7 linked regions of the Ovis aries genome follow. The protein of the gene in region 5 interacts with the protein of the main gene of each other region in a pairwise test. Links are inferred from orthologs where the notes say so. Each region holds a gene or a part of one and is shown on either strand. Other genes may lie near its edges. The genes, in order: CEP76, C1H1orf94, PPIF, SH3RF2, BANP, ZMIZ2 and FOXR1.

Region 1 (4,053 bases), on a different chromosome or scaffold from region 5:
GGTAAAGGCTCAGGTTCTTGCAGATGTTCCAAGAAAGCTTTTCCACCCAAAACCTGAAGGTAAAGATACCTCCGTGTTGGATCAATATTAGCTGTAAAGTGTAGCAATACATATGAGGAAACTGCCAATCAACTTAAGCAATGTGATCAAGACAACAGGAAATAACTTGACAGGAATAAAACTAAAGACTTAAAAAAAGGAAGAGTAACAAATCTACTATATACCAGGCTCACTTATACCCAGGGAAGAAAAAATACATAATAGGATATCCTTTTCTGATTTATATTTTGGCTACTTTCTTCCATCTAGACAGGAGTTAGAGCCAAGGTTTAGAATATCTTTTTTTCTTTAGTTTCTTATACAACAAATAATTTCGGATAATTACCAACTCAGCAAGTACACTTATTAGATAATTACACTGCCATTAAAAGAGGCTGTACAATTTATAAAATATATTAATAAAACATGAAAAACAAATAGTCCTGCTTTTGCTTCCACTCAGCTATACATTAAATCTTTGATACACTTCATGCAAAATAGAATCTAAGTTTTTTGGATGATTTATCATAAAACATAAGCACCTCATTCTGGAAAAAAAAATCAAAATGCTTTCTCTCAAATACAAAACACTATAGCACATCTATATGCAATACTATCCACAACTAAATTAATGTTAAAAAGAAATAAACATACTTTTTTTTAATAACGTTGATTGTCTGTCAGTAAAACAAACAGGTTGTTTTGGAGAGGAAGGGAGTTCTTGATCAACATTATCCTAGAATGGCAGAAAAAAAATCATAACAAATTAGAAAACAAAAATTACAGTTAAGAAAATGCCAATAATGGGACTAAGAACTGAACTAAAAGTAGACAGGATAAAGCCCCCTCAAAATGCCCTAACTTTCCTAGCAGAGTCAGAATAATGAAAAGTCTGCTGAAACAATAATGCAGCTAATTAGTCATTCCTAAAGTCTAGCATGAAGGAATTCATGATCTTCAAGCCATGTCCACAGAATGCTAAAATAAATTTTTAACACTTTACAGAAGGTTAAACTTTCTCCAAACCTCATATGACATCTGGCTTGTGGTTCCACCAGGAACAGAACTGATTATAATAAGGAAGTGACATTCACACAGCAGAAGCTATTACTAGGTCAGTTTTTATAACAAATGAGTTTATAAACCTCAAAAACCAAAAAAGGACGCTGGACTAAAATACTTATTCTCTGGTGTATTATGAAGCCCATCCAATTTCCACATTATGTTACCCAGGTATTGAGGTCACAGTCTCTCATTATTGCCTCACTTTCAAAAGACCTACTTACTAATTTGTGCAGAGAGGCATCACCTCACTACTGACCTATTTATATGAAAAGAGTTGAAAGTTCTTATGCAGACAATTAATTTCTTAAAGAAACAATCTGTTCATCTTAGAGAACACAGCACCAAACAATGTGTTTACTTCAATAATAAGCTTTGTGTAGAAAGATTTCAGGATATTAATTTAGAAAAAATACACTTGGAGTGAACTAATTTGACTAATATACACACTTAAAGTTTCAGACCTAGAGTATAAGAGAAAACTCTCACTGTAAAGGGAATAATTAGGTCCATAATTTCAGTTTCACTGATACATAATCCTACCCGCTCCACTCAAGGGTGAAGTAGCTCATTCCTGAGACACAGATATTACTAGACAAAATGGTCTTATTTAAAAAGTAGTTTCACTAAAGAGAGGCCCCAAATTGGACCCTAAGAGTGGTATTAAACATGAGAATGTACTTAAGACTCTCAAATGTCTTGCTCTAAGAGATTACTCACAGTAACAAAATTAAGTTCTTTCATCACATCATCAATGATTCCCCGGCGTTTAAGGGCTTTGATCAAATCTTCGGTTGATAGCTGTTGTTGATCAGGTGCCAATTCTTCCCGAATCGTCTCAGCAAGGATTTCTCTTATCCTGCCATGGACATCCATCTAGGTAGAAAACTCGCATTAGGACTTAAAACGTCATAGAGCAGTCAAAGATAGCCAACTAGCTAACATCTTTGCAAAATATTGACCACAAAATAATAATAATGAGAGAGTAGTTAAACTCAGGAAGGTTTCTCAAGTAACAGTGTGAGATTGTTACCGAAATTCACTGAGAATAAAGGTAAGGTTTTTTAAAGGAAAAAAACTTTAAGGATAAATATTTTTAACTCTAAAAATAAGCTCTAAGCTTATCTATTACATTTGCTAGCACTTCCCCACAAATAACACCCGACTGAAACCAGTCTTTTGAGACTAGAGCAGAGCAGCGGAGGAGCGACCAAAGGCCAAAAGTAAACTCTCTCAACCTTTTAGTTGTGGCCGAGGGTTAACGGAGTGACCCTTTACGCGTCTGGGGGAGGCGGCGGGGGTCAGGACCGCCGCGGGGCAGGGAGACGCTAACACTCGGCACGGGGCGGCGGCTGGAGCCCCGGCTGACCCCGAGGACCGACAGCCCCTCCGTGCCGCCTCCCATGAAGTGACGGCCTCCGGCCCCTCAGCCCTCTCCCCGCGTATCCGCGGTGCCCGCTGGCCCAGCCCCCGCCCGCCCGCCGCCTCACCGCCTCACCGCCTCACCTTGCTCAGCTGCTGGTGGATGAGCTGCTTCAGCTCGGACGCCTTTTCCGGCGGCAGCGACATGCTGGCCTCCCCGTCGGGCACGCCGGCGGCCGCAGCGTCTCCGCGGCGGAGCCAGAGCCCGCGACCGCTCGCCTCGCGCGCTCCGGGGGCGGCCGCGTCAGGCCGGCGGGGGAACCGGGCGGCTCCAACTGCTGTTTCCAAACGGCGGCGAGGCTGTCCCCGCGCCGCCTGTCAGTCACCTCGGCCGGCGCCCCGGCTCGTCTCCGCCCGCAGACTCCGCGCCTTGACCGCCAGCCTGTTCCCGCGCGCCGCCCCGGCCGCCACCCCCGCCCGCAGCCCCTCCCGCGCGCCGCCCCGGCAGGCAGTGGGACGGGCACCTAAGGACCCCGCGACCGGGGCCTCGAAGGACCCCAGGAGTCGCCCGCACTTCCGGCCGCCGGCTCCTTGTGCCGCCGGCGAAACCATGTTCGTACCCTCCGGGGACTCGGTCCCCGACCTCGCGGGGTGCACCCTCCTAATGGTGAGTCGGGGCAGGGGTCTGGCGTCAGAGCGGCCCCCGGACGCGCGCGAGTCTGTGGGGCCGGGTCCTGGTGGCTGTGAGCGAAATGTGCGGGGACGTGACCTTGCGCTCCGTTGGTGCCGTGTGGGCCACTCGCTGTACCTTCTTGGAAAATCTTTTCTCCGCGAGCTCTGTATCGCGCTTAAGCTGGGGAGTGATTGTCGTTAGTCAGGAAACTGCAGACGGGCTGGTAAAGACTTGGCGACAGCACGCGATTCTATCGCGGTTCATTCATTGCTTCAGTGAGCGTTGTGTTGTGTCAGTGTGTAACGGTAAAACCAGGTTCTGTGTCTCAAGGAGTTCGCAGTCTAGTTGGGAACACACGTAAATAAATAAAGTTAGAACGTTGAAAGGGGTACAGAAAGACCCGGGGATTTATTGGGAAGGGGAGGGATACAAAGATCTGTTAAGAAAAGCTTCGTATGTGGAATTAAAAAAAACACATAGAACAGATTGGATGAAAGGGGTCAAAAGTACAAACTTTTAGTCAAAAATAAGTCCTGGAATGTAATTTGCAACGTAGTAACTATAGTTAACACTGTGTTGTATGTTTGAAAGTAACAGAGTAGATCTTAAAATTCTCATCACAAGAAAAAATAATTTTTTGACTGAGTGGTGATGATCGTTAAGTAGACCTGTTGAGGTAATCATATTGCAATGTGTACAGACGTTCAATCACAATGTTGTGCACCTGAAACTAACATATATGTATCCGTTTTTAAAAGGACGATGGTAATAGAAAAGTCACTTTTCGACAGTTTTCATAATGAAAGCAAGAAATGTCAGTGGGGACTTCCCTCCTGGTCCAGTAACTAGTACTCTGCGCTTCCACTACAAGGGGCATGGGTTTGATCCCTTGTCGAGGAACTAAGGTCCTGCTTGTG
Region 2 (3,500 bases), on a different chromosome or scaffold from region 5:
TAAGCTCTTGGTTCGGACTATGGTTTAAATCAGAATGGACATTTATTTGATTTTTTTTTCATCTCTCTACCCAGTGGGTGGCAGCTCTTACAGGAGATTAAGTTAAATAGACGAACGAAAGAAACTACATTTTCCCGGAGTAAATAAGTTGTGTGAGTAAAACCGTCAGCCTTGCAAGCGTTTCCCCCACCCCTTTGTGTCTGACGCCTCTTAGCTCTCAGTCCAAGACCAAGACTGTGTACCAAGCCACCTCAGCCGGTAGAAGCTAAGATTGCTAGGTTGTAGTTGAAATAAAACGGCCACATAATTTGTCATCTGGGACGCTTGAGAGTGAAAGGGGGTACAATGAATAATTATGCTGGGACAAAAGACCAAAACGGGGACTGTCCCAAGTAATCCAGGCCACGTGTCATCCGACTACAAAGCAAGCCCCAGGAGGCGGTGGGAAACGAGGACTGTGCCGTCGGTCAGGCTTCCCTGGGAGCCCAAGTACTTCACAGCCCAGGATTAGCCAAGCGGCTCTGAAAGACACAGCACAGAGTGAGCCGGAATCCAGACAAAGGAAAATGAGAAACAGGCACACGTGTGTGTGTGTGTGCGTGTGTGTGCGTGTGTGTGCACGTGTGCGCGTGTGCGTGTGTGCGTGTGTGCGTGTGTGTGTGCATGTGTGTGTGCGCGTGCGTGTGTGTGCGTGTGTATGCGCGTGTGTGTGCATGTGTGTGTGCGCGCTTGTGTGTGTGCGCGTGTGTGTGTGTGCGCGCGCGCGTGTGTGTGCGCGTGTGTGTGCGTGTGTGTGCGCGCGTGTGTGTGTGCGTGTGCGTGTGTGTGTGTGTGTGTGTGAGATGCATGCGCACGCGTATCTGGCAGTCGGTCTGATGGTGTCCCTGTGAAGAAAGTAACTAATGAGCCCACGGCTCTTTGTGAATGAGGCTCCTTGTGAGCCACAGCGCCTCCCTGGACGGCCACCACCGGATAACTGGGCCCGGACCTGCTCACTCACCTGGTACTGGGGGAAGGTGGAGGGGTTTGTGAACACGGGCGGAGGTGCGTAGTTCAGGTTGAGCCAGAGGGGCTGGTTCAGAGTTGCTGAGGTCAAAGCGGTGGCAAAGCGTGGGGTGAACACGTTCCCCGTGTACTTGAGGTTGTTCTTGTCGGCCCCGGTCACAGGTGGGTTAACTGTAAGTCACAGGAGAGGTAGAACGTTTCGTGATTGAGGAAGGGAGAGGCCAGCCTGCCCCAGCTCCATGACTGCCCCCAGAGTTAGTGTTCTCACCAGTCAGGTATTTTAAGGCTCCCAGAGCGTTCTTCAAAGCTCAAGGAAAACACTGTTAGTTCACATCTTGCCAACGTGGAAGGGGTGAGAGGCCCAGCATGGTCTGCCATGGAGCATCTCCTTCACGACTCACAAGTAAGGAGGCAGTTTAGCAAGAGATACAATCAACCAGCTTGTCTCACCTACGTGCAAAACTATATTCCTTCAAGTGCTTCGGAAAAATCCAGTTTGATACAAACAATTGCTACGCTGTGGGAAGCCATTCTTATCAAATTGTTAAAGCACCCCACTGGGGACATGCACTTGGCAACAGCGAGGACCTTATGTAGGTGTTGCATCTATGCCAGAGTCATTTTTTAAAAATATTTAAAAATATTATATAATCCCCTTTGGTAAGATCCCAAATTAGTCTGAATGAATGATATTTGATGGAGTTGTTTCAGGATATGAATCCTGGATTCTTTCCTTCTATAATATGTCCTGTGGGATTAAGAGTTAGAGATGGGGTATCAGTGTCCCCTTTTTAGCACCTTTTGTTGAGGGGAGAATGTTTTACTAAAACAGTTTTAGATGTACAAGGGAGAGAAAGCTGAGACGTGAATAATCGAAATGTAGAAATGATCTTTTTTTTTTTTTTCAAAATGTAGAAATAATCTTAAAGCACGGGATTTTCTTTGGCTCAGGCAACTTGAGGGGACATAAGACATGCTGAGTCAGGGCTATATTCAAATTAACCACCAATAAGGCCCATGTGACCCCTGAAAGTCAGCTAGATTTCTTGAGCTCTTCCCTGTAGGGGTGACACAGGAAGAAAGCCATTTCCCCATTTTACAGGACTAGGGAAAGACAGTGACCTGCCCATGGATGACAGCCGTTTGAGGACAGAGCTACTCCAGGGGCCTATGAGGGTTTCTGAAATCCCTTCCTGCATAGACTCTCTTCCTGCATAGAGAGATCTGGGCAGGGTCAGCTTACGTTTCAGCTCCAGCCTGTCCACCTCCACTTTGCCACGAAGTTTCAGCTGCCCGCTTGGGTTCTTGGTGGCCCCAAGGACCTCATAGAGCAGGTTCTTCTCAGCCTGCCAGGCAGGCTTCTTGGCCGGCAGAGCCATGGGGTCACTGCCACCCTCCTCACCACAGGTGTCCTTCCGGCTCGGGGACCACTGGCTGAGAAAGAGGCTCTCTCGGCCCCTGGTCAGCTCCTTGGCACCTGGGTTCCGTTCTAGAGCAGGAGAGAAGCTGAGTCAGTGACTCTGGAAGACCACATGCTGGATGGGGGGAGCATGGTCTTGTGGACAAAGTCATGGATCCTCCGCAGCACACCTGAGACTCCCACCACTCTGGGCTCTCTCTCAACCAAGTTCAGTCCAAGTCCAGTCCCTGAAGCCTTCCCTGACCAGCGCCCATGACGGTCTCACACCCTTGCATGCATGAATGCATTCATCCATTCTTGTCTTCTTCCGTCTGTCCACCCATCCATCCATCCTTTTACCCACCCATCCATCTTTCCTTCCTTCCATCCACTCATCCATCCTCCCTTCCCTAATCCCATTCTCTCCTCCTTAAAAAACTTCCTCCCTTTTAGTTCCCTCTCTTTCCTTACCTTCTTTTCTTTCTTTTCTTCCTTCCTCTTTTCCTCCCTGCCGCTTCTTCCTTTCTCCCTCTTTTTGCCTCCCTTCCTTCCCTCTAACCATTTGTAGGTTGGATCACAAAGGTTCCGGATAGTTCCTGTCTTCAGGGAGCACACTTGGCTTAGTGGCGGTGGGGGGGGGGGGTGGTTGGCGCAGACACATTCCCACACAACACGCAGCTGGTCCCTTGTCAGAGACTCTCCTCTTGCTAAGTCGTCGTGGCGATTCAGCACACTCATCAGCGCCAGGCTCTGACCTGAGTCCTGGGGACACTTGGATGAGTCAGAGCCAGACTTGGCCCAGCAGGAACTCACAACACGGAGGAAGAGAGAGACAGACCCAGAAATAGCTCCGGGACAAGGCAGATGGGGACCGTGAGGTGATGGAGGGACACAGCGGGGGAAGAGGGCGGCTGAGACAGCTTCTGTCTGAGGACCGGAGGGATTCCAGGAGGAGGAGGTCTGCAGCGAGGCCCTGCACCCAGAGCCATGGGTGACCGCAGGCAAAGGCACAGAGGCACGAGTGAGCCACTGGCTGCTGCCGGTGCCAGGCTCAGCTCTCTCTCTCCAAACAGACCAAGTCTCCCTTGTGCAAGGA
Region 3 (2,238 bases), on a different chromosome or scaffold from region 5:
TTGAGCAGAAGCCGAAGCGGATGTCCAAGCTGGGCTAGGATCTTACTCTTACCACAGTAGGCAAGGGCAGGGACTCCAAAGCTGGTGGGCTCTTGGAGGCATGGGATGGTGGGACCAGGCACGGGGAGGCCTGGTCCTCTCTGGGGACACCTTATTGGCATTTGTGGATGCTTCAAAAGCAGGGCTAGTCAGGTCATCCCTGTTACCCGAGGAGGTCATCTCAGGAAAAGAGCAATATGATGGGGGCTGGGGCCTGGGGCTGGCAGACCCTGGGCTCTTCTGTCTGTGGCTCCTTGTGGAAGCCTTGGGCAAGCCGTGAGGAAGACCACCAGCCCTGGGTGGACTTTGTCCTAGGCCGGGTGAAAGGGAGATGCTGGGACAGGAACTGGGGCTCAGCAGAGGGACCTGCCTCTGTGCCAGCTACCCGCAGACCACACTGGGGAGCAGGGACTCCTGGCCTCCTCCTTGTTTACCCTTCAAGAGTTGTGGGTAGAAAATTCTAGGTCTCTTAAGAAGCAGCTCGAAATGGCTGAGAATTTTTAAGGATCATTTAAAATCTCACTCAGACAAAAATGAATCATTCGGAAACCAGGGTAGTTATTGGGGCAGAAAGTATTAAACCTTTATTTTGTTGTTGCTTACGTTCCTTAGCATTATATTAGCCCTTCTATCACTGGGTGTTTTCTGACCCCTTTGGCTGAGGGCTCCCAGCTGGGTAGGCCCTGGGGGGCTGGGCGCTGTGTCCCAGCATGGGAATAGCACCCCTCTGCCAGCTCTAGTGGCGACACTCAGCTAGCGCTCCGTGTTCGCAGGCTGGTGACTTCACCAACCACAACGGCACGGGGGGAAAGTCCATCTATGGAAGCCGCTTTCCTGACGAGAACTTCAAGCTGAAGCACGAGGGGCCGGGTGAGTAAGGCTGTCAGTCCCCACCTGGGCATGTGCCCTGAGCTGTGAGCCTGGCGCTGCCACCCCAGCAGGCCTGCAGGCTGCAACCGGATGGCTCCACATCTAGGGACACATCCTCCCTCCTTCAGGGTGATGGGTGGGCTTACTGGATTGTCCCAGAGGCTTTTTCATCCTGAGCTCTCAGTTTCAAAAACAAATCTTTCTTTGACCACCATGCTCTGAGAGCCGTTAAGCAAAGCCCTAGCTTTATGTTACCTTTAGGACCCAACGTGAAATGTGGAAAAAGCTAGAGTTCAGGGCTGGAGGTCCTGCCCCTGCTCTACCACTGAGAGCCTCCAGGAGGCCCTTCCCTCCTGTGTCATCAAGGCGGACAGGCCCTGGGTGGCTGTGTGCTCTGGGCTTGGCTCTCCTTTTCTGAGCCCCAAGTATCTTCAGCCGCAAGCATCCTTCCTGTGGTGTGCATCATCTGCTCTTGAACAGTTCCCAGGTGAGATGCCTCCTGGGGCAGCCTGCTCATCCCGCTTGTTTTCGCAGGTGTTCTGTCCATGGCCAATGCAGGCCCCAACACCAACGGCTCCCAGTTCTTCATTTGCACCATAAAGACAGACTGGTGAGTTGCCAGCTCCTGGTCCAGGCCCTCAGGGTAGCAGGGGTGGCCTTGAGCTGGAGCGGGAGGATAGTTTGAGGCCAAACTCTCTGCTCTGGGGCAGTAGCCCTCACCCGGCTGAGTGTGTAAGAGGAGAAAGGCCCCAAAAGCATTGAGGAAGAATTTGGGTTATTTTGCAACTCTTGTCTTTTATCAGGCTTCCCATTGTTGCTGTAGCTGGAATTTCTCAGTGTTCTGAGCATGCACACGTACACACAGGAAAGAATTCTCTTACCAAATACATTGGGGAGATGCTGCAGAACTTATCAGGCCTCGGGATGGCTTGTGGCAGAAGCTTGCTCACTCGGTTTAACCTGCCGTTTCCCAGCTTATTTAACTTTGGGCTGCACCTTGGAAAATGCTGCAGTAGACAACATTTGGATATCATACCGGATTTCTCATCAGGCATTAGCACCAGCCTGTTGCAGCCACCAGCCCTGCTGGAACCCTCTTTCCCATTGCCCTTGTATTTTAGGGATGTCTTCCCAGGTCAGTTTCCCACTACCTAATCAGTTTTCGCTTCCCAGAGTCCCCTATGTCCTCACCCTGAGGCATCTCAGCGGGGTGAGGGGACAACAGCTGGCCTGGAGCTAAAACTTAATAAAGCCCATTTCCAAGGACTTTAGGGAGACCCAGGAGGTGGCGGATACTAGTGGTCTGTAGCCTCTGAGCCAGAAGGGACA
Region 4 (3,500 bases), on a different chromosome or scaffold from region 5:
AGCAAGACCAGAGTGAGACCGTTTCTCTGTGGAGAAACCAGTTTCAATTAGGAAAAAAATGCATTTGACTGAAATAATTGTTTAGACTGACAACTGATTTGACAAATAACAATTCTTTAGCTGAATATTTTTAAGTGATGATTGATTTCTGATTGTTAATTTGTCTTAGTTGTGCTTGCTAAAGACACAAACACACATGGGGTTTTCAGTTTCTAGACAAGGCTGAAGACAAATTATGGTGTATCACTCTCACATAGCACTTTCTATTTTCAGGGAGTTTTCACCTCAGTTTTCTTCCCATTAACACTGAGGAGTAGGTAGAACTGATATCATTAGCCCTACATTACAGATGATCATTCTAAGAAGTGTCATCTGTTGAGCGCATTCTGTGCACAATATGAAGTAATATACAAATGCATCATTAATATCCTTTAGTCCTCACAGCAACTCTAATAAGGTAGATATTGTTATCACTTCATCTTATAAGTGAACATGGTTTAAGAAAGATGAAATAACTTGACTGTAGTCACATAAGAGCAAAGAGGTGAAGCCAGAATTCAAAATCAGTATTCCTAGCAAGAGTCACGGTCTTACCCAAGTTCCCATAGTTGCGGAGTCAAGTTCAAAGTCCTGCTCCCTGCATAGTGATTAAGAACAGGGTCTCTAAAATCAGATTGTCTGAGTTCAAGCCCCATATCACCATTTCCCGGCTGTGCCACCTGAAGTGAGTTACTACACCTCTCTGTGCCTCAGTCACTCCACCTTAGAAACGGGGATAATACTGTCTCAAAGGTTAAACAAGGTAATCCACCTATGGCACTTAGTGCATGGAAAGTACTCTGTAATTAGTAACTAATGTGACCCCCTTGGTCCCTCCAGCCTCTAAGCCATATATATTTTCTTGATCTGTATCACTGCAGGTGCCTCGAGCAAAGGCCTTATGCAACTACCGAGGGCAGAATCCCGGTGACCTGAGGTTTAATAAGGGAGATGTCATCCTCCTCCGAAGACAGCTGGATGAGAACTGGTACCAGGGGGAGATTAATGGAGTCAGTGGAGTCTTCCCGGCCAGCTCCGTGGAGGTCATCAAGCAGCTGCCCCAGCCACCCCCACTGTGCCGGGCCCTCTACAACTTCCACCTTCGTGACAAGGACAGGAGTGAGAACCAGGACTGCCTGACCTTCCTCAAGGTGAGGTTCTGAGAAGCCACCAAAGTCACCAGTGATCACATAAAGGCTGTGGCAGAACTTAAGTTGTTTGTTGATGTTTTAGAATTACATTTTATACAGGCTTCCCTGGTGGCTCAGTGGTAAAGAATCCACCTGCCAATGCAGGAGGCGCAGGTTTGATCCCTGGCTTAGGAAGATCTCCCGAAGGAGGAAATGGCAACCCACTGCAGTATTCTTGCCTGGAGAATTCCATGGACAGAGGAGCCTGGTGGGCTACAGTCCATGGGGTCTTGGAAAGTCGGACGCAACTTAGTGACTAAACATCAGTGAACAGCGTGCGCCTGCATATGTTATGTGTTTGCATACTTCAAACTGTATGGAGGTGAAGCCACCAGAGAAATCTAACAGGAGTCTGATGGAGGTTCTCAAACATTTGTATTGCAATTATGAAACCAAGTATCCATACCCTCATTCATTCATTCATTCTGCAGCCACTTGTGACCACCTGTTCTTTTCAGACACTGGGGAGCCAGCATGAACAAGTCACAGCATCTGTGCTTGGGCAGAGTAGTGGGAGAAACAGATGGTTAGACAGAAAATTGTAAACATAGTTTAATAGCATGCTCTATAGAACTACGGATCTTACCTCTTCATTGAGTGTCTGCAAGGATATTCTTGCTGACCAAGGTCACTACTGCTTGTTTACAACACTATTTTGTCTGTAGACATTGCCTTCAAAACACTCCAAACAGCAACTACTGAAGCCTGCATGCCTAGAGCCTGTGCTCCGCAACATCAGAAGCCGCCGCAATGAGAAGCCCGCGCGCCACAACAAAGAATGACCCTCACTCTCTGCAACTAGAGAAACTCCGTGTGTAGCAACAAAGACCCATCACAACCATGGATAAATAAGTACATTTCTAAAAACCATTCCAAACACACACAATAACATAATTATATCTTTACACATAGATAACCTCTTACAAGATATATTTTCCAAGGACATCAGTTACCCTACGATTTTTTTTACCTCTCTTTTTTATTGGCTGATTCTTCACCATTTGTAAGTAACAAGTCTGCTGAAGTCTAGACCATAGCCATCCCTGTATATTCAGGGTGAGGGGGTGGATCCAGGACACAGTGAGTCCTGAGGATGCAGGGTCCGTGGATTCAGAGGGTCAACTGTACTCTAAGTCTCGAATCTGAGCAACCTTCAGGAGGTAGTGAGGACAGGGAAGCCTGGTATGCTGCAGTCCATGGGGCTGCAAAGAGTTAGCAACGTAGCAACTGAGCAACAACAAAATTCAGTACTTATTATTCCCTAAACATTCTAATTTTCTCATAGAAACTAAAGTTGGGGTAATTTTTATTCTTTGCAACTTAAGTCAAATACAAGTGCAAGTAACACTGCTACAGTAAGTTCAGGAAAAGTCTTTTGTTTTGTAAAACATTTTTATTCCATCACTCCCTGAAATGAAATTTGCTTCAGATTCCCTCAGACCAGATAACTTCACTGTCCTCCATATTATGAAATACTGATCTTTGTTATTGTCTTCACACCTCAGAGTGAGTCCCCTAAAGAATACCATTCATTAGCCGACCTGCACATTTTATACTTTGGCTACAGCCAGAGGACAGCAGTTCAATTCCACAAGCGTTTATTGAGTATTTACTTTATGCCTGGCATTAGACACTGAACTCTGGGGACACAGCCAGAGGAAGATACAGGCAGGGAGCATATCTGCTTTTGTGTCCCCTCTCTGGGAATTTGCAAACTGGGACACTTACCCAAGAACTTGCTCATTCATTGAATTCATCCATGTACCAGGCTGTCTATGCAGATACAGTGAAGAGTCATTGTCCATATCTTCATGGAGCCAGCAGTCTAGTGGAAGGAGCAGACACATAAATGGGAAATTATGACAAAGGACTCAGAAGAGAGGATTTGCTCCCTCCCAGAAGATTATCAGTGCTTCCCCAACGGCTCATCATTAAAGAATCTGTCTGCCAATTCAGGAGACACTGGTTTGATCCTTGGGTCGGGAAGATCCCTTGGAGGAGAAAATGGTAGCCTGCTCCAGTATTCTTGCCCAGAAAATCCAATGAACAGAGAGCCTGTCGGGCTACAGTTCACAGAGTCCCAAAGAGTCTGACACGACTGAGCACAGCACGGTGGCAGAAGGCTGTCATAGGCTGAGACTTCACTAGGAAATCTCATGGTCTTCCTATAGTCAGCTTGTCTAAAAAAAAACTCAAGATCTTTTCTCCCAAAGCTACTCTTTTCCTGGTATTTTCTGTCTCAGTAAATTTTCCAGTTTATTCACACATGCA
Region 5 (2,577 bases):
AACGGGACGCCAGTGTGTGGGGGTGGTGCTGGGGATCGGGGTGGTGATGGGGGGCGGGGTGCGGGGGGGTGCTGGGGGGTTGTGGGGTGGTGGTGCTGGGGAGGGGGGGCAGGGTGCGGGGCGGGGGCCCGGGGGTGGGGGGCGCCGGTGTGTGTGCGGGCGCCGGGGGGTGGGGGGCGGTGCTGGGGGTGCCACCGGTGTATGTGTGGGGTGGTGCTGGGGGGGGGTGCCGGTGTGTGCGGGGTGTTGCTGGGGGGCGGTGCTGGGGGGTGGTGCTGGGGGGCGGTGCTGGGGGGCGGTGCTGGGGGGCGGTGCTGGGGGGTGGTGTGCCGCCGGTGTGTGGGGGGTGGTGCTGGGGGTTGGGGGGGGGCCGTGTGCGGGGCGGTGCTGGGGGTTGCGGCCGGTGTGTGGAGGGGGCGGTGTGGGGGGGCGTGCCGCCGGTGTGTGGGGGCGGTGCTGGGGAGGAGGCAGCTCCCAGGAGGAAAGACTGCGACAGCTGCCGTGGTCATAAATACATTTATTTCATGTACTCCATTAGAAACGCACAATTATAGCGCTGAGCGCATCCATCCCCCTAAAAAAGTAGGTAAGCAACGTCTCCATCAAAATCATCAGTCGTCTCCTGTGAACATCTATCCTTGTTACACTGAACAGATCACACAGCAAAAGGTTTCTGCTACTCCATTTTTTTTTCGATTTTCTTTTTTGTTATAAACACCATAGCAAATTAAAAAAAGCTGTTTAAACAGAGAAAAATATCGCAGTTCTTGATTTCCAGCGTGCACTTGACGCAACCGCACTGTGCTTCCCGCTCCTTCCCTGGACGTTCCAGGAGATCAAAAGAAACAGGGTCTCCGGGCGAGGGTGGCAGGGGCTACCATTGTCTTCGTTTCCCAGGGCACTCTCCCCATGGACGGGTGCTCGGATGCACTTCAGCAGCACGCAGGCAGGCCCCTCCCGTGCAAAGCCTAGGGGCGGGCGCGTGTGAACGGTGTAGGTGGCAGGGGCCAGCGTGCAGGGGTCAGCACGCAGCGGCGGCGTGGCTTGGGTCTGGGCGGGTCAGCAGCCTCACTGGATCTGGATGGCCCCGTGCTCCAGCTGCATCTCAGGCTGCAGGGTGGGCTGCAGGGCGTCAGCCGCCTGCAAGAGGGGAGAGGGCTTTCCATCAAAGGGCCCAGGCCACGCCCGGTCACAGACATGCGTGGTTTTCAGGCACAGAGTAGAACACACACCTGGGCTGGTGGCCCAGGCACTGACAGACCCGGGGACGCCAAGGTCCCTCTGCAGGGCCTCCGCTTTACCCCCACCGGCCCACCCACTCACCCCTCCCACAAGTGCCCCAGCACCCTCCCCCCCAACCAGCACTGGGTTCCATTCCCACCCTGCTTCTCACTGGGGGCACCCTCCAAGTCGTCAGCATATTCACAGGTTTACGATAAGTCAAAGGGAAAAATACAGTCTTAGAGTAAGTCACTGACCACGCATCTCAGCCACCAAGAATGGGGCCCCCAGAGAGAGACGGTCTGGCGGTTTTTGGGGACTCCCTAAGCCACTGGCCAAAGGCAGTGGAGGCGGGCTCCCCTGGCATGAAGTTTAGCTGGGTGGCTCCTGGGGCCACGCAGGGGAGGCAGAGGCCCCAGTGGGGCTGGTGCTGCTCCTCCGACTGTGGCTCAAGACTGTGCTTTCTCAGTGCAAACATCCCATGGACATAATAGCGTTTCCCGATAGTGGGGGTGGCGGGAGTCAGGGTGTCTGCCCGCCAGTCTGAGGGCTCAGCAGAGGGCTCCTCCAGAGGGGCTGGGTTTGAGGACGCTCAGGAGAGCATACCTGTGTCACCCCCGCCCCAGCAGTCTGAGCCTGACCACACCCTGACAGACCCCGATGATTCTGCCTGTCCTACGGGCTTGGGCACCACACGGGAGTCCAGGTCTGGCTCCCCCAGACCCAGGGGAGGTCATGATGGTCTCCTGACCAAGCACCATCACTGGGGGTTACAAACCCACACATGGGCCTGCAGGACCTCGGACCCTGGGCTGGCCCTGCCCCAACACGAGGAGCAGCAAGGCCTCAGGTGTACTTGATTTGGTCTCTAAACTCATAGGTAAACATGTGCCTGAGAGCATCTCAAGAACTGGTTTCAAGCTGGTCCCTGGGCCAGGAACCGACTTCTCACCTTCACACTTCCAGGCACTTACGAGAGACAGAATCCCAAGTGAGCACCTAGGTCCACACGGGCACCTCTCACGGTCACTTACCTTCCTCACGGAAGAAGGTCCGAGGTAGAAAGGCCCAAGCGTGTCCACACCTGCAGGAGCCCCGGGCCCTGTGCACTTCCCGAAGGGAGGACCCACCTGGGCCGCAGCGGTGTGGTCGGTCACCGGCGCCAGCTGGACGTACTGGACCTGGATGTCGCTGCCCTGGAGCGGCGAGCCGTCCACCCCTGTGGCAGCCGGGTCCGAAGAAGCCACTGCTATCAGCTGGGCCCCCTGGAGCACCTTGAGACACAGAGAAGACGCACGTCAGCACAGAGGACAGGACTGAACGACGGAACAATGATTCAAACGTGCAGCCGCATCC
Region 6 (3,449 bases), on a different chromosome or scaffold from region 5:
CTTTCTCTCCTTCTGTTCCCTCGGGCAGAAACAGGGCTGCAGAGGAGTAGGAAGGCGCACACCTGGGGTTTCAAGATGTCAGTGGGCAACTTGGAGTACCCCCATCCTGGACACTGCCCCGCATCCACTGGGGCCGGTCTCTGGGTGTGCTACCCCCTCTCCCCAACAGGGCTCATAAGCCTTTTCTGCTGGACTGGAAGGCCCATGGGGCCACTTGGGCAGTGAGCGCACAGATGAACCAGTGTCCAGCTGGTCAGGCACTCAGACCCTGCTCCTTGGCCCCACAGCTGGCTCCACGCCTGAGGCAAGCCCACACAGTGACGTGGTGGCAGATGTGTCTCCCAGTCCTGGTGACACTTCACAAATAGCTCTCTAGCCAGAGCCAACTTGGAAAATTCCAGGGACAAGGAAATTTACCACGGGTTGCAAATAGCTGGGCCTTGCTTTGAGCAGGGAGCCCCGCCCATGTGTGGTAAGCAGGTTGAGCAGGAAGGAGGGACTGCCAGGCCCACCACGAGGGAGTCCTTTAATAGAGACAGGCAGACAGGGGACACGACTTGGCCCTGCACCTAGAGTGTGGTGGCCCCTCCGCCCCCACCTGGCGTGGCCCCAGGGTGGACATGGGAGGAGAGGTGGATTTAAAAAACACTGTGGGACCAACTCTTCACGCTTACAGAAAAGGGCAACTTGGGGGGAACAGGCTGCTGGAGAATCTGCACGTGGAGCTGAGTCTGAGCCCAATGGCCAGCAGGAGGGAGCCTGCTGCCCCCCACCCCTCCTGGCCTGCACATGGGTGAGGGCAGGAGCCCACGGAGACCCAAGCTGCACAGAGGGACCAGCCACCCTACATCTATTAGTGTTTCTACACTATGTACACTATTGTGCTTTAGAGCCCCCAACCCCCAGCCTCAGCCTGAAGCCCCTGCCATAGCGGGCTGGGCGAGACTAGGCCCCAGGACAGAGTAACCCACTCTTTGTTGGCCTAGGGCCAAACGGGTCATTGAAACAGAAAGGTCAACGCTGGACAAGATGCAGGCTGGTGGGAGCAGGCGGGGTGGGGGCCTGGGTGAGGCTGGAGTTCAGGGGTGGTGGGTATGCATGAACCAGGCAGGGCTGGACAAGCATGGGCTGGTACAGATGGGGGCAGGGCTGGGCATCTCCTCAAAAACAGTTCTGCAGCTGCAAACTGGGCCAGTGAGAACCCTGCCCCAGGGCTCCCCTCCCAGCCAGTGCAGTTCGACCTCCAGCAGCCAGGTGTCAGGGGTGGGTCCCAGCTCCAGGTGTATACGTGGGGAGGGCCGCTGGTGTCAGGTGAGGCTGGGCTGGAAAGAATGGTGCGAGACATCGGTGGGCATGTCCCTGTCAGCCAGGTGGTCGACAGATAGGATCAGTTGTTCTCGAAGAGAGAAAGCAGGTCATCGTTGCTGTTCGTGGGGAGGTCGGGTGGGCCCAGGTAGGACAGCAGCTCATCAGGGTTAGTCAGTTCTGGAAGCAGCTGGGGACAAAGCAAACCTGATAGCAGCTCTGGCCTCAGACCTGCCACATCATCTCAATCGGGTCCCCAGGCCCAGCCGGGAAGTGGGGTGCCCCCCCCCACCAGCCTCCAACACAGGCTAGCACCAGAGCCCCTCAGCCTGCTCCTCACAGGGCCTCTTCCTGCCAAAGACTGCTCTGCAACCAGGAATCACTTGTGTTAAGCTGTCCAAGGACAACATGGGACACCCCAGCCCGTGAGGGGTCCTGAACACGAACAGCATGAATGCAGAAGGTGGAATTTTCTGCTTTGAGCTGTGCTTTCCACACTTTTTCACGTTGAACTTTGTATTCATTTATCAGGATGGAGGGACAATCACCTGTCTTTTATGCACTGGTTCTGGCTCGCACACCACCTGTGAGTCAGACAAGTCAAGTCAGACCCTAAGGCCGGTGTCATTGGCCACAAGCCAAGTCTTCCCGGGGACTCTGCATGTGCCACGTTGGCGCACAGGTCCCGAGAACCAGGTGCCTGGACACAATCACCCCATAGCTACTCTGACACCTGACACTCAACAAAACTGCTGGCATCACCCAACCAGCTCTCCCCAAGTCTGGAAGCCATGGAGGAGTCACTGTCTTTGCTTCTATGAAGTGCACGGACCCTGGGGACAACAGATAAGCACCCCTGAGCCCCAGCTCCAAGTGCTCCCCAGCACAGGGCCCAGTACTCACGTCCAGAGCCGGTTCCGGGGCCTCCCCTGCCCCAGACATGGGGGCCCCCATCATGCCTGTGGCAGCACTGAAGGCCAGCTCGCTGAGAGGCCCCGAGTTCACTGGGCCCAGAGCTGGCCGGGATGCTGGGGGAGGGTTTGGATGATGCAGCTGGGGCCCTGGGGGGCCTCCAAGGTTAGGGGCGTGCAGCCCCGGGGGCCCGGGGTTATGGGCTGGGTCCAGGTGACCTGCTGGTGCCATCTGAGGAGGAGAGAATAACCTAGTAAAACAGCTCGAGGGCTCCCTGGGGGGACACCTCCACAGCCCCTCGACTTGACACTGACCTGGCCTGGGAGGCAGGGGCCGGACTTCTCTGGCGTAAGGAGGTTGCTGGGAATGTCGGATTGATAGGAGACAGGCGGAGGCCCTGGGGTGAACTCAGTCAGGGTTGGGGTGCTGGGTGTGGTGGGTGGGAAGGATTCGGGGAAGGTCCCGGGTCCCAGGAAGCTGGAACCTGAGAGAGGAGAGCCAGATCCAGGTGAGGGCAGGGGGCTCATGCTGGCTGAGCCACGAGGGCAGACTGGCCACAGCACGGGTGGGACTCACTGCGCTCGCCCAGAGGATGCTGGCCTTTATGGAAGTTGCTACTTGGGAAAGGGCATTTCTTCTCGTTGTTGCTGGGGGAAGTGGTCATGACACTGCCAGGAGGCTGCGAGGGGACAGGAATGGGACCCACCACACCCAGATACTCCCACCCGCAGGGCTGGATGGGGCTGGTCTGGAAGTGTGCCAACACAGACCTCTGTTCCAAACCTCTGGGGAGGTGGGCACAGCCATAGCCTGGGCCCCGCTGCCCATCCCCCACACCCAGCTGGGCATCTGTACCCCCAAGTCCCCAACCAGGCCCCCAGGCTTGCGGACCTCAGAGCAACGTGTTCACAGGCGGCAGGCTGGTGGGAGAGGCTGGATCATCGCCCAGGGCCCTAATTTTCCAGGGCGAGTCCCGTGTACTCACCCTGGCTAGGGTAGTCGCCAGGGGCCGGGGCTGAGGCGGGTTGCAGAGGGGTGAAGGGCGCGGCACCCGGGCCCAGGGCAGCGATCATCTCCATCACGCTGGGCATGAGCATGTGGGCAGGGCTCACAGTGCGGCAGCGCTTCAGCACCGGCCCATCTGGCTCTTCCTTGACGTGTAAGTCAGGCTTCACCGGCACTGGCTTCCAGCTGCACGTGGGGTCGATGGTGATCTCCTCGTAGTCAGAGCT
Region 7 (3,500 bases), on a different chromosome or scaffold from region 5:
CATGTGGTCACTACTTCCCCAGGCTGCGGGGCTGTGAGCAGCACCAGCTGTTTCGCCTCAGCTCCCGATACCTCACCTGCCATGCTTGTCTCTGTGAGGACCCCTCAGGCAGGCACCACCCAGCATCTCAGAACACCTCTGGCTTCTCCCCTCCCTCCAGAAGCTGCCCCTCCCCTCCACCTTGGTGTGACCCTAGCTCCTTTCATGCACACCCAGCCTCGGGTCAGGATCTTCAGGTCCCCTCCCCTGGGCCTCACGTGTGACAAGGCCTCACACCTGGCTGGCTCATGCACTGTCGGATCCTTTCCAGCCGGGTGGAGGCCAAGGCACGGGCCTCTTCTGCAAAGCGGCGGTGTCCCTCGTCAGTCAACTTCCAGAGGCAGGATCGGGGCCGTGAGCTGGCCCCACCCTGCATGCTGACCGGCACCTTCTCGAAGCTGTCTCGGAAACAGAGATTGTGACGCACGGTATTCTTCCAGCCTTCAGGAGCCGTCCGGAAAAAGGGGAAATGTTGTCTGTGGACATGGAGGAATGGTCAGGAGAGGGGTGGTCTTCCTGGGAGATGCCTCTCCTGGAGAACATTCTCACCCAGGGGCCAGGAGCCCCCAGCCCTCCTCTCAAGGTGGTGAAGCAGAAGCTGGCCCACGAGGCACTGTGCTGACTAGGCCTGTGGCTGCGCAGCTGGTACAAAGCCTAACCCTCTGAACTCAGTCTACTGCCCCTACACTCCCAGGCTCGCTTTCCTTCCTCCCTCCCTCCAAGGGTTCAGGACTGACAACTGAACAGAGCTAAAATCAGGCCAACAGCTTCTGTCAGAGGAATCCTGGTCAAGGAGGACACCTCTTGAGGATTAATATTCTGTGACTGACTCTTCTAACAGAGGGAAAAGGTCCAAAAAACTCCTCATACTCATGGGTACCTGACTGTCAGAAAGCAATGTAAATCCTTTCTCAGCTTGGCTTCCCTGGGTCCCTGGGGGACAGGCCGTGCCAGATTAGTTTAGTCCAAAGGGAAAACGTGAGAAACTGCTGGGGGATCTTGAGGGAAGATGACAGAATTTATGACCCAGGTGAAAATATGTTTTGAAGAACTAAGATAGGGACTTCCCTGGTGGTCCAGTGGTTAAGATTTCGCCTTTCAATGCAACTGGAGCAGGTTTGATCCCTGGTCAGGGAGCTAAGAGCCCACATTCCTCATGGTCAAAAAACAAAACATAAAAGAGAAAGAATTATTGTAACAAAAACTTAAAAAAAAAAAAAGAACTAAGCTATAAAAAGGTTGGAGTCTCTTAGATGTGAGGGGTGGTGGTGGCTATCCTGTCTATGTGAGGTGAGGACACATATTCGGGGACAACCTGGAACCAGGGCCTGGGAACAGAGAGGGATCCTCTGGGGTACATGTGGGGGAGGTGAGGCAGCAGCCCAGGGCCCCCAGCCTACTGGAAGGTATCAGAGCAGGGCCCTGCCCCCTCCCTTCGCCCTCCTCACAGGGCCCCGGCACATACCGAGTGAAACTGTAGATCTGTTGCACGTTGAGGCCACAGGGGGCACTGTTTCTTAATGCCAGTGCAATTAGGTGGAAGTAATTGAGAGGGGGCCGGGACCAGAGCCTCCCCTCCTGGCTGTTGGCTTGCCGAAGCCTCCGACTCTGGAGGGGGGCCGGTTTGTGAGAGGACGGGAGAGCCACAGAGGAGCGGTCATCCTGGTCCTCTGCCTCCTTCTCTTCTGTGAGCTGGAGGAGCACAGAGTAGGAACTGGTCCTGACTCCATGGTCTCGACTCCAGGGGTGCGGTGGCAGGAAGGGGCCGTGGGCCAAGGCCACCATCTGGGCTTCTCCCCACCCCAGAAGATGGGGGGCACAGCTAATTTCTGAACCCACTAACCCTTTGTCAGTCCTAAGAAAACAGAGCCCTCTGCTGCGTCATCCCTGGGCCCACTCCCTGCCTAGAGCCCACCCCAGAAATCCCTACCTCCCAGTTGCCGGGGGAGGTGGCAAACTGCTTCCAAGGGGAAGACTGGTCTCCAGGGGGTGACAGCGACTCCACTTCTGTGGCCTCCGGACATTTGTCAAAGTCTTTTGGGACTGGCTGAGGGGAGGGAGCTGTGGTTGTCAGATTCTTCCCCTTACTGGGTTCCGGGACCTCCAGCTTTCCAGGGGGGAACATGATGTTGGGGTCTACCCACATCCACAAGTTGGGCTCAAAATCTAGACCTGCAATAGAGAGAGAAAGAGACTGTGGCCCGTAGCCCAAGGACTTTGGGCAGCCCACCCAGGCCACAGGGCCATGTCACTTCCCTTCACTCACCATCTTTATCAGGGTTGGGTTTTTTTTCCAGAAGTAGCATTGGTGGCTCAACTATTCGGAGTTTATATCTGGCAACTGGCAAAAAGAAAGAGAGTCAAAACATCCTAGGATTTCCATTGTGGCCTTGAAGCCTCCCTGGAAGATGGCTATGGGCCCTGCCTGGGAAGTGATGTCTTATTCTATGGGTTTCCCCTTATCTCTCTGACCTTCTCATTATCCTCTGCATTCTTCCCTTCTCACCCCACATTATGTCCTTGAACCATCTCATTAATGCCTGTTACTTCAGTCAGTCACCATCTATAAACTCAAAGCTTCCATATCTTTATTTCTAGCCTAGACTTCTCTGCTAGCCCTTAAGTATAACTGTCTATGGGATAACCCACAAGCACTTTAACCAGGCAGGCTACAGTCAACAAGGTCAAAAGAGAGTCAGATACAACTTAGTGACTAAACAACAACACCCATATATATGTATTCTTTTTCAGATTCTTTTCCATTATAGGTTATTACAAGATACTGAATATAGTTCCCTGTGTTGTACAGTAGGTCCTTGTTGGTTATCTTTTTTATATATAGTAATATGTATCTGTTAATCCCAAACTCCTAATTTATCCCTCCCCTCACTTCCCTTCAGGGCTTCCCTGGTGGCTCAGACGGTAAAGAATCCACCTTCAATGCATGAGACCTGGGTTCGATTCCTGGGTTGGGAAGATCCCCTGGAGAAGGGAAAGGCTCCCCACTCCAGTATTCTTGCCTGGAGAATTCCATGGACAGAGGAGCGTGACAGGCTCTAGTCCATGGGGTCGCAAAGAGACACAACTGAGAGAGTTTCACTTTCACTTCACTTTCACTTCCCTTTTGGTAACCATAAGCTTGTTTTCTATATCTGTGGGTGGAAATCATTCTTGTCTCCTCTTTGCTATAGAGCCACACCCAGTCAATCACCAAGTTCTACCATCCCAGTCTAAGCCTGTAACCTAAAAGTTCTGTTTACCTTTTCTTTAACTTATCATATTGCAATTTTGAGCCAACTCATTGGAAAAGACCCTGATGCTGGGAAAAATTGAGGGCATAAGGAGAAGGGGGCGACAGAAGATGAGATGGTTGGATGGCATCATCCACTCAATGGACAAGAGTTTGAGCAAACTCCAGGAGATAGAGAAAGACAAAGAAGCCTGGCATGCTGCAGCCCAGG

What was found.
Region 1: the proteins of BANP (region 5) and CEP76 interact in binary tests that used the Homo sapiens proteins (3 or more experiments, as listed by UniProt). The two-hybrid records come from large-scale screens. The link is inferred for Ovis aries from reciprocal best matches to the Homo sapiens genes BANP and CEP76.
Region 2: the proteins of BANP (region 5) and C1H1orf94 interact in binary tests that used the Homo sapiens proteins (3 or more experiments, as listed by UniProt). The two-hybrid records come from large-scale screens. The link is inferred for Ovis aries from reciprocal best matches to the Homo sapiens genes BANP and C1orf94.
Region 3: the proteins of BANP (region 5) and PPIF interact in binary tests that used the Homo sapiens proteins (3 or more experiments, as listed by UniProt). The two-hybrid records come from large-scale screens. The link is inferred for Ovis aries from reciprocal best matches to the Homo sapiens genes BANP and PPIF.
Region 4: the proteins of BANP (region 5) and SH3RF2 interact in binary tests that used the Homo sapiens proteins (3 or more experiments, as listed by UniProt). The two-hybrid records come from large-scale screens. The link is inferred for Ovis aries from reciprocal best matches to the Homo sapiens genes BANP and SH3RF2.
Region 6: the proteins of BANP (region 5) and ZMIZ2 interact in binary tests that used the Homo sapiens proteins (3 or more experiments, as listed by UniProt). The two-hybrid records come from large-scale screens. The link is inferred for Ovis aries from reciprocal best matches to the Homo sapiens genes BANP and ZMIZ2.
Region 7: the proteins of BANP (region 5) and FOXR1 interact in binary tests that used the Homo sapiens proteins (3 or more experiments, as listed by UniProt). The two-hybrid records come from large-scale screens. The link is inferred for Ovis aries from reciprocal best matches to the Homo sapiens genes BANP and FOXR1.

Annotation. Positions count from the first base shown.
Region 1 is NC_056076.1:43,561,647-43,565,699, forward strand, and holds the start of CEP76 (centrosomal protein of 76 kDa), read right to left. Parts: upstream 2,801-4,053; 5' UTR 2,671-2,800; coding exon 2,608-2,670; intron 1,978-2,607; coding exon 1,822-1,977; intron 776-1,821; coding exon 694-775; intron 92-693; coding exon 1-91. Other genes in the region: PSMG2 (proteasome assembly chaperone 2), read left to right, coding at 3,074-3,130. UniProt on the Homo sapiens protein: Centrosomal protein involved in regulation of centriole duplication. Required to limit centriole duplication to once per cell cycle by preventing centriole reduplication.
Region 2 is NC_056054.1:9,141,673-9,145,172, reverse strand, and holds part of C1H1orf94 (uncharacterized protein C1orf94 homolog), read right to left. Parts: intron 2,495-3,500; coding exon 2,249-2,494; intron 1,177-2,248; coding exon 1,001-1,176; intron 1-1,000.
Region 3 is NC_056078.1:34,158,271-34,160,508, forward strand, and holds part of PPIF (peptidyl-prolyl cis-trans isomerase F, mitochondrial), read left to right. Parts: intron 1-812; coding exon 813-909; intron 910-1,443; coding exon 1,444-1,519; intron 1,520-2,238. UniProt on the Homo sapiens protein: PPIase that catalyzes the cis-trans isomerization of proline imidic peptide bonds in oligopeptides and may therefore assist protein folding. Involved in regulation of the mitochondrial permeability transition pore (mPTP).
Region 4 is NC_056058.1:54,955,529-54,959,028, forward strand, and holds part of SH3RF2 (E3 ubiquitin-protein ligase SH3RF2), read left to right. Parts: intron 1-920; coding exon 921-1,190; intron 1,191-3,500. UniProt on the Homo sapiens protein: Has E3 ubiquitin-protein ligase activity. Acts as an anti-apoptotic regulator of the JNK pathway by ubiquitinating and promoting the degradation of SH3RF1, a scaffold protein that is required for pro-apoptotic JNK activation.
Region 5 is NC_056067.1:12,999,131-13,001,707, reverse strand, and holds the end of BANP (protein BANP), read right to left. Parts: intron 2,496-2,577; coding exon 2,256-2,495; intron 1,141-2,255; coding exon 1,069-1,140; 3' UTR 501-1,068; downstream 1-500. UniProt on the Homo sapiens protein: Controls V(D)J recombination during T-cell development by repressing T-cell receptor (TCR) beta enhancer function. Binds to scaffold/matrix attachment region beta (S/MARbeta), an ATC-rich DNA sequence located upstream of the TCR beta enhancer.
Region 6 is NC_056057.1:78,405,727-78,409,175, forward strand, and holds the end of ZMIZ2 (zinc finger MIZ domain-containing protein 2), read right to left. Parts: intron 3,448-3,449; coding exon 3,203-3,447; intron 2,702-3,202; coding exon 2,532-2,701; intron 2,449-2,531; coding exon 2,209-2,448; intron 1,890-2,208; coding exon 1,854-1,889; intron 1,496-1,853; coding exon 1,388-1,495; 3' UTR 501-1,387; downstream 1-500. UniProt on the Homo sapiens protein: Increases ligand-dependent transcriptional activity of AR and other nuclear hormone receptors.
Region 7 is NC_056068.1:29,296,059-29,299,558, reverse strand, and holds part of FOXR1 (forkhead box protein R1), read right to left. Parts: intron 3,101-3,500; exon of another isoform or gene 2,975-3,100; intron 2,381-2,974; coding exon 2,306-2,380; intron 2,212-2,305; coding exon 1,970-2,211; intron 1,732-1,969; coding exon 1,505-1,731; intron 516-1,504; coding exon 277-515; intron 1-276. UniProt on the Homo sapiens protein: Transcription factor which acts as both an activator and a repressor.